Linked DNA regions of Coturnix japonica. The protein of the gene in region 1 interacts with the protein of each later gene in a pairwise test. Links are inferred from orthologs where the notes say so. Each region holds a gene or a part of one and is shown on either strand. Other genes may lie near its edges.

The links. The genes of interacting proteins can lie anywhere in the genome.
Region 2: the proteins of SDCBP2 (region 1) and ZCCHC10 interact in binary tests that used the Homo sapiens proteins (3 or more experiments, as listed by UniProt). The two-hybrid records come from large-scale screens. The link is inferred for Coturnix japonica from reciprocal best matches to the Homo sapiens genes SDCBP2 and ZCCHC10.
Region 3: the proteins of SDCBP2 (region 1) and PTMS interact in a two-hybrid assay, tested with the Homo sapiens proteins (2 studies listed by BioGRID and IntAct). The two-hybrid records come from large-scale screens. The link is inferred for Coturnix japonica from reciprocal best matches to the Homo sapiens genes SDCBP2 and PTMS.

The regions. Positions count from the first base shown.
Region 1 is NC_029535.1:9,197,305-9,201,348, forward strand, and holds SDCBP2 (syntenin-2), read right to left. Parts: upstream 2,801-4,044; 5' UTR 2,404-2,800; coding exon 2,350-2,403; intron 2,246-2,349; coding exon 2,152-2,245; intron 1,991-2,151; coding exon 1,878-1,990; intron 1,759-1,877; coding exon 1,597-1,758; intron 1,436-1,596; coding exon 1,260-1,435; intron 1,187-1,259; coding exon 1,015-1,186; intron 810-1,014; coding exon 718-809; intron 616-717; coding exon 561-615; 3' UTR 106-560; downstream 1-105.
Region 2 is NC_029528.1:1,095,457-1,099,519, reverse strand, and holds the start of ZCCHC10 (zinc finger CCHC domain-containing protein 10), read right to left. Parts: upstream 2,801-4,063; 5' UTR 2,710-2,800; coding exon 2,633-2,709; intron 811-2,632; coding exon 649-810; intron 1-648.
Region 3 is NC_029516.1:69,482,623-69,486,836, reverse strand, and holds the start of PTMS (parathymosin), read right to left. Parts: upstream 2,801-4,214; 5' UTR 2,607-2,800; coding exon 2,559-2,606; intron 2,017-2,558; coding exon 1,945-2,016; intron 1,252-1,944; coding exon 1,170-1,251; intron 1,005-1,169; coding exon 940-1,004; intron 412-939; coding exon 361-411; 3' UTR 1-360.

The DNA of each region.
Region 1 (4,044 bases):
GGGAGCAGCCCTGGGCTCTAACCTCTCGTGCAATGTATTTGTGGATCCGTGTACGCGTCTGTCCGACTATCCAAAGCTTAGCCAAGAAATAAATGTAACGTTATATTTGAAAGACAAAGCTATATTATATATTTTTTAAATACAGAAGTGGAAAAAAAGAAAAAACCCAACAGAGATGTAAACCTCCTCCCCTTCCTAAGCCCCTTCTCTCGTTTCCGCTGTCCTGTACTGCAGTGGATGTAATAAACGTCGCTGGGTCTGTGTCTGCTTCGCTGGAGACGGCCTTGGGCATCTGCCCTGGGGTGGATATGGAGGGTATGGGGGGGACATGGGGACAAGGAGAGGCACTGGGGGCAGGGGCACGTTCCCCAACCCTGGTCCATGTGCTGAGAGCTGGGTGACATGGGATGGTGCTGCACCAGTAGCTCCCGTGGGTTCTTTTTATGGGGCTGAAGGGGAACCTCCAGCATTTCCTTTGAGTCCCCTCACCTCTTCCAGGCTCGGCTGTGGGGAGGCTGCACCAACATGTGCCCCTGGGTGCTGGAACAGCAGTGAGGACATCAGAGGTCGGGGATGGAGTGGTCCATGGACGACTTCATCTGTCCTGGTGACAACCTGCACGTGGGGAAAGGGGTCAGGGGGAGCCCCAGGGTCCCCTGGGGGCACTATGGGGGGTTGTTGATAGGAGACAGGGAATAGGGGGAGCACGGATCTCACCGTTTCACCATGTGCTCATAGATGACAGCGGGGATGATGGTCAGAGTGATGACGTTCCCTGCTCCCGCCAGCACCTCCATCAGCTGCTTATCCTGTGGAAGGAGGGGTAAACATGAAACGCTGTGACACAGCCCCACTTTGCATCCAGGGCGACTTGGGGTTCCCTGCACCTCCCAAAGCAGCCGTACCCACATGGCTCCAAGTCCACAGTCTGCACCCAAAAACCCTGTGCCAACTGCAGGGCTGCCCTCAGTTGTGCCATGGGGACAGGAGCAGGTGACACAACTGTGCCCATACCTTCATGCCGATGACGTTCTGACCATTGACCTCACAGATGTAGTGGTGTGTCAGGAGCCCATTGCGGGCAGCAGAGCTGTCCTTGGCCAGAGACACGATCTTCCCCTTCTTCACCACGACACCCACGTGCCCAGTGCTGTCCTTATGCACAGTGACAGTGCGCTGGAATGGCCTATGGGGACAGCGGGGTCAGAGCCAGCCCCACACACAGCAGCACTGCACAGCACCCACCCAGCACCGCTCACCTGTCCCTCACCACCATGACGATCTTCTCCGGGGACGCCTTCTTCAGTGCCCGCTGTGCCTTGTCACTGCTCCAGCCTGCACAATTCTTGCCATCAATCTGCAGGATCTGGTCACCAAAGCGCAGCCCCACCAGCGCCGCCGGAGAGTTGGACTTCACCAGCTGCACGAAGATCCCCTGGGGACACAGCGAGGCTGAGCTTTGTGCCATGCACTATGTGCCATGCACTATGTGCCATGCAATATGGGCCATGCAATATGGGCCATGCAATATGGGCCATGCAATATGGGCCATGCAGTGGCACACCTCGCCCTGCCTCCCACCAGCCCAGCCCTCACCTGGTCGACATTCTTCAGCTGCAGCCCCGTCTTTCCCCGCTCATCCTTGCAGAGGTGGATCTCCCGCACACCTGGTTTGATCTCTGCCCGCCGCAGCCCCGCACTGTTCCCACTCAGTGGGGCAACCAGCTGCCCCGGCTGGGGTCCGATGGGGGTCAGCGCCTGTAATGGAGCCAGGGATCAGCAGGGACATAGGGTCACACATCAGCCCTCAAGGGACAATGAGTCCCTTCCCCAGGCAGGATGCGGTTATGGGAGGGGTCCCCCAGCCCTCAACCTACAGTGCTGCTTTCTGGGAAGAGGTTTTTCTGGATCTCTTCGCTGGAGAGCGCCAGCCCCATGTAATCCTCCAGCTCAGCCAGGTTGGGGTACAGTGCAGGTGGTGCTGAGGGCACTACAGATACAGAGAGAGACCCATGGGATGAGCCGAGAAACCCCCACACCCCACCCCCTACCCATGCACTGAGCTGCTGGGGGCCTCAGCTGAGCCCCCACCATGTGGACACCCCCACATCCCCACCCCAAACAGCCCCTCGGCACCACACCCCACATTACCGGTGCTGGAGGTGACCTTTGGCTTCTCCGGGAGCTTCGGCTTCTCGGTGAGCACCGTGGTGGCAGGGGTGCTGATCCCAGCAGCCGCCTGAGCCTGGGGGAGATGGGGTTTGTTTGAGGTACAGCCCCTGCCTTGGGATCACCATGGGCACCCAATGGGTCTGATCGCCCCCATAGCGCTGATGAGCAGACACTGACCTGCAGGACCTGGTGGCCCTTCATGTCCTCCAGCGAAGGGTAGAGCGTTGCCATCGCTGTTGCTGAGGGATGGGATGAAGATGGGATGAGGGCAGGGTCAGGGCTTTTTAAGGCAGGGTGCTGTGCCCCAAACACCCCTCAGGGACCCACAGGGCTGGGCTTGCTGTAATCCTGGCTCTGTGTCCCAGGCATCACCTGCAGCCTGGGACGTGACTCAGGGCTGTGTCACCGAGGCCACCACCTCCATCACTTCCCAGGAGCTGGGGCACGTGCTGGGCACGAGCATAAGCACGAGCATCCCAGCAGCTGCCCTGCTCCAGGTGTGATGTGACGGCTACCTCAGGCACCCATGGAGGCTCTTCTAGCTTCCCCAAACTCATCTGGGGGATGTCCCCATGGGTGATGGGCAAATGTCCCCATAGGCAAAACCTCTCTGTCGCTGCTTCCTGCTGCCCTTAGGCCCTGCCAGCCCCCTCCACCCCATACCTGCATGGCTCTGTGCCTCAAAAAGCATCACTCAAACATCAACGCCCACCTCCAGCCTCTGCTCCAAGCACCACTAGAGCCAGGAAGGATCCTGCCTGGTAGCAGCATCCTGAGGTGGGGGGGATGATCCCACAAACCCAGTCTCACCCCCCAGCCCAGCTCCCTCCAGACTCACCTGCAGAGATTTCCAGCTCCTATGCGCTGCCCTTCACTTGGCCCTGTGCTTTTATAGCAGCGCCCATCCCCAGGGAGGGGCCCAGTGGCCTCAGCTGACAATCACCTCCCTGTGCCAGGTGGAGCATGGGGGAGGAAGAGGAAGGTGAAGGCAAAGCAGCTGGGCTGGCCCCGGGGAGGAGCACACAGCAGTGGGGATGGGGGCATGGATGGGGTCAGTAATAGAGATAGGGACATGGATGGGAACACAAACAGGGATAGGGACTGATTTCCATGGCTCTGAGCATCCTGTGAGCCACAGGGATGAGGCCATGGATCTCCAGGGTGGCCTCCACCCTTCCCATCCACACAACCCCCAGGTGCCACCATCACAGTGCTCAGTGTCACTGCAGCCCCAACCAGGGGCCACCACAGCCCCCTGCCCAGCGCAGGGTGGGCACAGCGGGTGCCCTCAGCCCCATGTGGGTGTCTGTCCTCCGTGACACCTCTCTGCGTGGGGCTGACGTTGCCACATCCCGCATCCATTCGTGATGGCCCCGTGGGAAAACTGAGTCAGGGCTGCAGGTGAAGGGTGTCAGCCCAGCACTGAGCCACACATCCCAACCTGTGTGATGCCATCAGACCCTGTGTCCCCACACATGCTGGTTCTGTGGGTGCATGTGGCACAAGGCCAGCCCTGATGCAGGGCATGGCTCAGCCCTGTGTGCCAGCAGGAAGCAATCTATTTTACCAGTGTTATTTTTAGCCTGCAGTGCCCAGCTGCCCTGGAATGCAATGGGAGCAGCAGACAGATGATAAGCACAGCTGAGAGCGAGCACCTGGTCTGCCCTGGAAGGATGGCACCCATAGCAGCGGGGCTGCACCAGCCTCATGGGTAAGGAGTTGGGTGGGCTCAAGCACAGAGAGAACACAGACAGCACTGGGACTTTGCTGCCCACTGCAAACAGCACGTGCAGCCATGCACACACACACTGCATGCCCTACACCTGCACACAGATGCTGCCATGAGCACACAGACCCTGCTCACGCACACGT
Region 2 (4,063 bases), on another chromosome or scaffold:
GTTTCAGTACTCCCATTTATGTTCCTGTTCCAGTTGAAACAGCCAATGAGGTCAAATCAGATCACTCTGACAGAGGTCAGCACCTATGCTCTTCATAGCAAGATAACAGAGCTCTTCCATAACTCACATCCTGGTAGCACTGATGACCTATGGTCAAAACATCCAGCTACAAGAGGCGTGCTTTCAGGTTCTCAGGGTCAATACCCAACTTAGTGGGAGGAACACAAAGCTGAGAACACCCAATAATCTAACGCTCTGTTTGAACCATTGTGTACTTAACAGTGGACCTTTACCACCTGTAAGTACAGTCTAACACAAAACTAAGCAGAAGTTAAAGAACTGCTTCTATTTAGCCCCATGCAAACCTAGTAGGATATGAACATATGAAATTGAGCTACTCAGGAATCAGCATTTCACTACAAAATGTCTCCAACTATTTTAACGTCAGCTTAGCGTGCTTTATTTTTTGCTTCAGATGCATCTGTGGAATCTGATGTATGTACCCCACCCAGCTCACACAATGGTTTTAAAACTGAACAAGTATCACAGAGAAGAAACAACAACAGAAAACAATCTTGGGCACCACCTTTCCTGCTCTCACACCACATTACCTCTTCATCAATAAGCTGAACATTCTGCCAGTCTTACCTTTGTTGCAGCAGTAGTTGCTTTTCTTTTTCTTTGAGAATTTTTGCTAATTGAGCTGTCCTTGAAGGTCTGTGCAGGTATTTTCTCTTCCCTTTGCATTCGTACGTCCAATGTCCAAACTCTAAACATTTCTGACATCTGACGTGCTGCTTGTTTGCCTCCCTATAAAAATGCAGAATTGCTTAAGTGACCGATGCCATGTCTGTCTGTTCTACCTAGTGAAAGAATATGAATTTTCTTTAGCATACAGAGTCTACACAATACACATCATTATGTTTAAAGCAGACTGATGTCCACGAGTGCTTTAGCTTATAAAACTGGAATCAGAACAAGAACAGTAACATCAAATACACACAGAACTTTGGCAAACGTGCTATTGCAGTTACCAAGCTATTCTCACACCAACTATTTAGGGAAAAAGAAAGATGCTTTTCCTCTGTTCCAGAGCTTCAGCTTAAGCCTGTTCTGGCTAAAGCAGAAGATGCTGAACTATGACAATGGCTGTCAGTACAGTGATCAACTGCACCCAAATTTCTTTTCTCACCTGTCCACACTTCTGGAAGCCCAGCCTGCACTCTTCAGTTTCACACCCTTGTAATTATCACCCGAGTGTCACACACTTCCAAATTCACTCAAAGCACCCAGGATGTGAGCAAGCAAAACAGCTGCTCCCAGCTGCAGCTTATCTGAATTGCCCTAAGATCTATTAAGCCTGGCAGAAGGTTTATTGTAACAGTGATCGGATTCCTGTTCAATTTCTGCAGCATAAATCAACCCGAACTATACCGGAATGAAACATCAGAACTATAAGTGAGCGTTTTACACTTGCATTTCAATCTCTAAACTTAAATTTCATCACTTTTAGCAGAAAACTGAGAAAAAATTACATATTCAGTCTTTAGCACTTGCTCCATGATTCTGAAGCTGTTTATTTATAAGAACGGCTGCTTTTGTATCTCCTCACAGATACACTCCTACTTTACAAATAAGGAGGCTCACAGAGCACTCAAGTGACTCACTCAAGGCCATATCATAAATTACTTCTAGAGCCAGTGAACTTCATGAGAACTGCTCTAACTTATTTCTGCTCTTGTATCATGTTTTCAACACTAAATTACTTGTTTTTCAAGGCCAGGACACCCAAAACAAGGCCTGCAGAATGGTCAGCTTTGTCTTGCCTGGGACTTCTGGCTCTGCCACCACAGTCACACATAAGCGGAACGAGGAATCCCTGTCTGTTCCACCAACAGAGATGGTGTAACTAGCCAGCCCAGACCTGTCTACACGGGAAGAGAAGTTCAAAGCAACTGTAACACATCTCCTTATTTCCAGGGCTTTCATAAGGCTCACACGACTAGGGCAGAGAATCCTATGCAAGCTAAAATAAGATCAAGCCCTAAAAGAAATGTAATTACCAGGAAACAGATCAAAAGAGCCCAGCAGCTACAAGGCTATAAATACCAGCTCAACACCAACACGTGCAAGTGTTAATGAAAAGCATGAGATCAGGGTAATCATTTAACACAGATCGACGAGCACTGCCTAAAAGCAAAGATAGGCAGATATACGAGTCAGTATAAATCAGTATAAGCATATGAAGACTTCAGAAGTGTTAAAATCAAGGAATGATTTCTTACAACTTAAAAGAGCAGTACTGCAAAATTGCTTTGAAATTCCCAGTTACTTTCTTGTGGAAAACAGGAGATAAGTTACGGTACACAGTGACAAAGGGATGGGGGTGCAGAGCAGGGGTTGGCAACTGGACCCTTCAGGTCTGAGAACTGCCTGGAAGCAGCATCATTTACCAGTGCAGAACAACCTCCCCCGGCTGCAACATCGCCACAGCCGCTCTCCTCACAGACCGCCGCCCCACCAGGCGCGGACACCCGTCCTTGGCCGCCCTCCTCCCGCTCGCTCGGTTCCCTCGGCCCAGCCGTTCCCCCGCCCCGTCCCGTCCCGTCCCGTCCCGTCCCGCCGCACTCACGCCTGTCTCCGAGCGATGAGGCGGTGCATGGGAGTCGCCATCTTCGCGGCCGGGAAGTGAGGCGCGCCGCGCTGCATGCCGGGCTAATGCTGCACAACCAGGGGGAGGAGCGGCCGCACGGAGAGGAAGGAAGGAAGGAAGGAAGGAAGGAAGGAAGTCCTCCACAGAGCACAGGGGCGCCCTGCAGCACGGAGGCGCGCTACGCGGCCCGTCTCTTCTGCTCCGCCGTTGCTATGGCGGCGATGGGCGCGGGACGTTGGTGCGGCCGTTGGAGGCGGCGGGTGCGGAGCGGGACGGCGCGTTCGAGGAGCTTCGCTTTAACTCGTCGAAGTGAATAAACTAACGCAACCAGCTCTGCAGCCTCACAGCAGCACGGAGGGCAGGATGTCTCTTCGAACGCTACAAAGAAGCGCTGGGAAGGGCCGGATTCCAGTCAGGAAGCACTCCTCCAGTGCTGCAGCCATCCACTGCCCTGTTAGCTTTAATGCTTTATTTGCCCCACACTATCAGTAAGGTATAACTCCTCAGTAGCTGAAAGGCTCGTTTCTGCTACAGGTACATTGTGCTCAGTAACCCACGGACCATCACCAGCTTTGCAGGCACTGAGGGACCCAACGCGTTCTGTGCTGGATCGTGAGGAGACACAGTTCAGATAAACACAGGAATCCAAAGGCAAATCCATTCCTCCATGTCACTAAGCCCGAGACCCGAAGATCCCCATGGATGCCAGCAGCTCCTCGTGTTCTCAGCCCTCCATCACCTCGCAGGCTGTGGGGCAGGAGAGGTCAAAGGACAGAAGGAGGCAGCAGCCTAATGACAGCACAGGCAGCGCTGCTGCTGGCACCAGTACAGTTGCCCTCACACTGAGCACAGGAAAGCAGTGTGGCTTCATCTGTTTGCCGTATCAAAAGCCATTGCTATCTCATTTAAAATATCTTAAATCTCATTACAAAAACCTCAAGAAAATACACTTTTTAATGCTGGCTATGTATTAATCCTGCTGGCAGTACTTTCTATCCAGCTGTTCTCAGTATTACTCTGAAATGCCCCGTCACAGAGGCAACTAGTGGACAATAAGCAGATATTCCACTATACTTCTACATGTATCTGAGTGCATGAGATCTTATGGATTCTTAGTAGGTTAGTAGTGGCTACAATGTCGGTATTATCTCTGGTACATTATGAATGTGGTAGAGTTTGGACTCAGTACTGGAACCTTCGTGTCTGGCATCTCACTTTTAATGGAGAAAGTCTGACAGAAGCATTTCCTATTTTAGGACTGAGCTATTTTTAATAATCCATGCTTTATAATAAATGCCCAGTCGTTTTTTATTTCACTATCACTTAAAATCTTGGAGTGTATTGCACACTAATAGCACTATCTGCTCTCTGCTTAACAACATGGGCTGCTCCTGGCACTGTGCTGTGGAT
Region 3 (4,214 bases), on another chromosome or scaffold:
GGGAGGGGTGAGTGAAAAGGAATGAGAGGTGCTTGCCGTGTGAACAGCCAGTCGTATAGGCCTGGCAAGGTTACGCATTGGGCCATGATGGAAAATGATGAGATTCTTGAGGGGAGAGGTTCATTTGTATGTGGGGCACAGCTGGAAGGATGTGGGGAGGTGGGATAATTTCAGGTGGGGAACGTCACAGATGGGCTGGATCTTTGGACGGGAAGGAAACTGCTGTATTCCCTGTTTGAGAGCTTTTCTAACCTTTCCTCATCTGAGATTGTGTGAAGCCAGAGGCTAATGGACAGTGCAAGCACAGGCTGGAATGGAGGAGGAGAGATGGACGGAACAGAGGAAATGGGAGGGGAGGACTCAAGCGGAGGACCCATTTTCTGTCTTCTGCCTCTTTGGATCCACTTCATCCTGAGTATGACAAAGAGAAGGAAAATAAAGTTACCAGCAATCGCTGCACCAGCATATCCAATTCTTACTGCTGCTCTTTCCTCCACGCCAAAATCCACTTAGCCACCCTAAATCCATTCCTCTTGGAAGTACTTTGAGTGTCTGATGACTGCTTTGTTGACAATGGTTAAGACACGGACAGTTTCTTTTGCAGCAGCATCTGCACTGCTGCATTCAGGAGGGCAGAGCAAGCACAGGCTTACACCACTTCACACAGACCCTGAGACCTGGCCTGCAGCCCAGATATTACATGTTTTAAAGCAGGGTCATCACCCCGCACTTTGGCTGGCCCCGGATCCCACCAAAAACCCATGAAGCTTTATGGTTCCTTTGCCACATCAGGTTTGTTTACTCATCTGCTGCTGAAACAGCAATGAGATGCAAAGATGAACTAAGAAACTCAGCAGCAGCAGCATCCTCATGGACTTCATCTGCACACAGTGTGGTCATCTTGTTCCTTCTCACTGCCCTCACCCACACACCACTCACCTCCTCCTCCTCTGCAGATCGTTTTTCTGCATGGCCGTCCTGCTCTTGCCCGTTCTCATCTCCTTCTAAGCACAAGCAAGAGCAGAAATTACAAGTTAATTAAAGTAGCACTTAAGGAAATAAATCTCACAGTCAAAGAGCACGGAGAAGGAACTTCCCCTTATTGTTTATTTCCCCCAAATCTGCCCTTCCTGCAAACCCCCCATTCTTCCTATACTAATCATACCCACCATCATCCTCATCACCACCTTCTTCTTCATCCACATCCTCAGGATTCTCTTCCTCATCCTCTTCAGCTCCATTCTCCTCATCCTAAGCAAAACAAATCAGAGCAGAAACTTATTGTCAGGATGATGTCCCCACATGCTCTTTGCTGCAAGAGCGAGAACATCCCTGCCACCCCAGCCTCCAGCTGCAAGCACACACCAAGCAAGCGATCTCTGCACTGCTACTCGGCCCCTGTCCCTCCCACATCAGCTGTCCCACGCTGCCAAACCCTCCTCCCCTCTTGCCTCCTTGACACAACCAAACGCCCTGTTCCCTCCTCACCGCCGTGAACCTGTGACATGCATGAATTCGTATCACCACACGCTGCTGCCACCTAATTCCAACAACAGAAACATCTTTCTGGTTACAAGCTAACAACAGCTGGTGTCCATCTACTCCAGACCAATCTGTGCATCTCCTTGCGGCTCCCTCAGCCCGAGCTCCTCAAGCACTGGGGATACCCGAGGAGATGCAGCGCCGCATCCCCTTGCTGCCACCTCCTGACTTCCATCTGCCCTGTCTCCGATCTCCTCTTTGATCCTCCCGCTCATAGCACTCACTACACCGAGTTCAAGCCTCGTTCTCTACTATTACCCTTAGTCTCGTCCATCTGCCACCCTCCCTCCGAAGCCTCGCTGCTCACTTCTCTTCCTCTGCCTCCCTTCACTCTCACTTCCCGCAGCGACTTGAGCCGACGACCCTTCCCGAAGCCTTCGAAGGGCTCACTCCACACCTCACCTCTACTATCTCCTTCTTCTTTTCTTTGTGGACCGCTTTCTCCTCTAGTTTCTCCTTCTTCTCCTTCATTTCCTATACGCAAGATGGGGAAAAAAAAACACAACAAAACATGGCAGCGCTCAGCGGCCAGAAACGGAGCGGTGTGAGACAAAGAGGGCTCGGGACAGGAGGGGCGGACGGCACACGGCGGGCAGCCCGTCTCTCGCCATCAGGCAGAGCAACCCGGCTGGAGGCACGCCTCGGGGCCGGGCAGGGCGGCTCCGGTCCAGGGGGCGGCCCTCTAGCGCCGAGCCTCCCGCCCCCGGCCTCCTCCCGCCGTTGCGGGGCGGCAGGTTGTCGGCGCGGCTCCGTCCGTCCCGCTGCCCCCTTTGTGCTCCGGTTCGGTCGGCTGGCCGCTTTTTGAGCCGCCCCTAGAGCACAGCGGAGCCGCCCCTAGAGCACAGCGGAGCCCCCGCGCCGCTCCGCCCCCCCCTTCCCGCCACCCCGCCGAGCGGGATCCCGCGCGCGGGCCCCTGCGCCCCCCGCCCCCGCTGCCCATTGGCGGAGGGGCCGCGCGCCCCCCTGGCGGCCGGGCGGTCGGGGCCGTGGGAGGGGGCGGCCGGTGCCGGGCTCACCTTGGCGCTCAGCTCCGCCGGAGCCTCCTCGACGCGTTTCTCCGACATCGTGGCACGGGCAGCGCGGGGCGGCGGGGACACCCCGAGGAGGAGAGAGAAGGGGGGGGCGGAGGGAAGGTCGGCACGAGGCGGGAGCTCCGAGTCCCAGCGGTCCGGCCGCACGGATCCCGCCCCGGGGCCAAAGTGCCTGGGTCCGCCGCGATGGGGGATACGGCGGCGGAGGGGATTTATACCGCGCCGGGTGACGAGGGAAGGAGGGACCTGGCGAAGGGAGGGGAGAGGGCGGAGGAGGGAGGGAGGGAGGGAGGGAGGCGGAGGGCGGCCGTCGGCGGAGCGGGCCCCGAGAACAATGTGCGGGCGGCGCGGAGCGCGGCCAGTCCGCCTGGCTGCGGGCACACGGCCGGACACGGGGCGGACGGTGGGGGGACGGCGCGGCGGTGCCTGAGGGCCGGGCCGCACTAACAGAGCCCAGAGGTGCGAGGGAGGAGCCGCCCCAGCACGGGGCAGCACGGCGGGGCAGCGTCTGTCGGGCAGCGTGGGCACGGCCCGGCTCGTGCCGCTCCCGCCTGGAATTTTCCACTGTGCTGCCGCCCTCCCCCTGGAAGCGCTGCCAGCCCCGGCTCCTCCCCGCCGCGTCCCGCCGCCACGGGGCCCCAACGCACGGTGGGGGTGGGGCGGGAGGGAAGGAGGGAGGCTGTTTTTCCCGCGCTGTGCGGGCTGGGGGCGGGGCCGGGCGCAGCGCCGCGCGCAAAGCGGGGGGGGAGGGGCGGGCGGCGAGTCCCGCTTCCCCATATAAGGAGGGACAGAGGGCGGCCGTGCGATTGGGCCATTCAAATGAGAGGTTTGCCTGGCAACAGGCTTCCTATTGGTTCTCGGGGGGAGGCTCCGCGCGGGGGAGGGGGCGCTGTAAGAAGAGGGGAGGGCACGTGGGGATACGGGCGCGGCGCGACGACGGCGATGCCGCCATCCGCACGGCGCGGTGATGGCGGGTATCGGGAGCCGTGCAACAGCGCCACCTGCCGGGCAGTGTGGGTAACGCTGTGCTGAGAGCAGAGAGAGGGAATTTCTGGAGCTGAGCTCAAAAACAGGAGGAAAAAAGAAGTTGGTGGATGTTGTCATGGTGTGCTGCTCCTTGGTAGAGATGTGTGACTCACTGCTGTGCTGTGCTGTGCACCAATCCAGCATTTCTGGCTTTATCTTTCCTCAACTGCTGCGCACGCAAAGCTGCTCCATCACATGCTGTACCATAGACCTATCCGTGCTAATACACCAGCAGGCCTCAACGCGAGGTCCTTGAGGAGAAAAAGCAAAGACTATATTTGGTGATGATACTGTTGCCCAAAGAGTCGTGTTGACACAGGCAACGCCCTCAGATGCAAATACACAAGCGGCTGTTTATGAGAGGAAAGTATGTTTCCAACCACCTGTGAAAGGGGCCATTGGGTTCGGTCTGTGACCTCTTCCTTCCCCCTGTGGGTGCTCCAGTTCTCAGGGCTCACAGTATCACAGAATGACCCGGGTTGGAAGGGACTTCAAGGATCATGTAGTTCCAACCCCCCTGCCTGGCAGGGCCACCAAACATACACCTTTACTAGATCAGGCTGCCCAGGGCCCCGTCCAACCTGGTCTTGAACACCTCCAAGGACGGGGCATCCA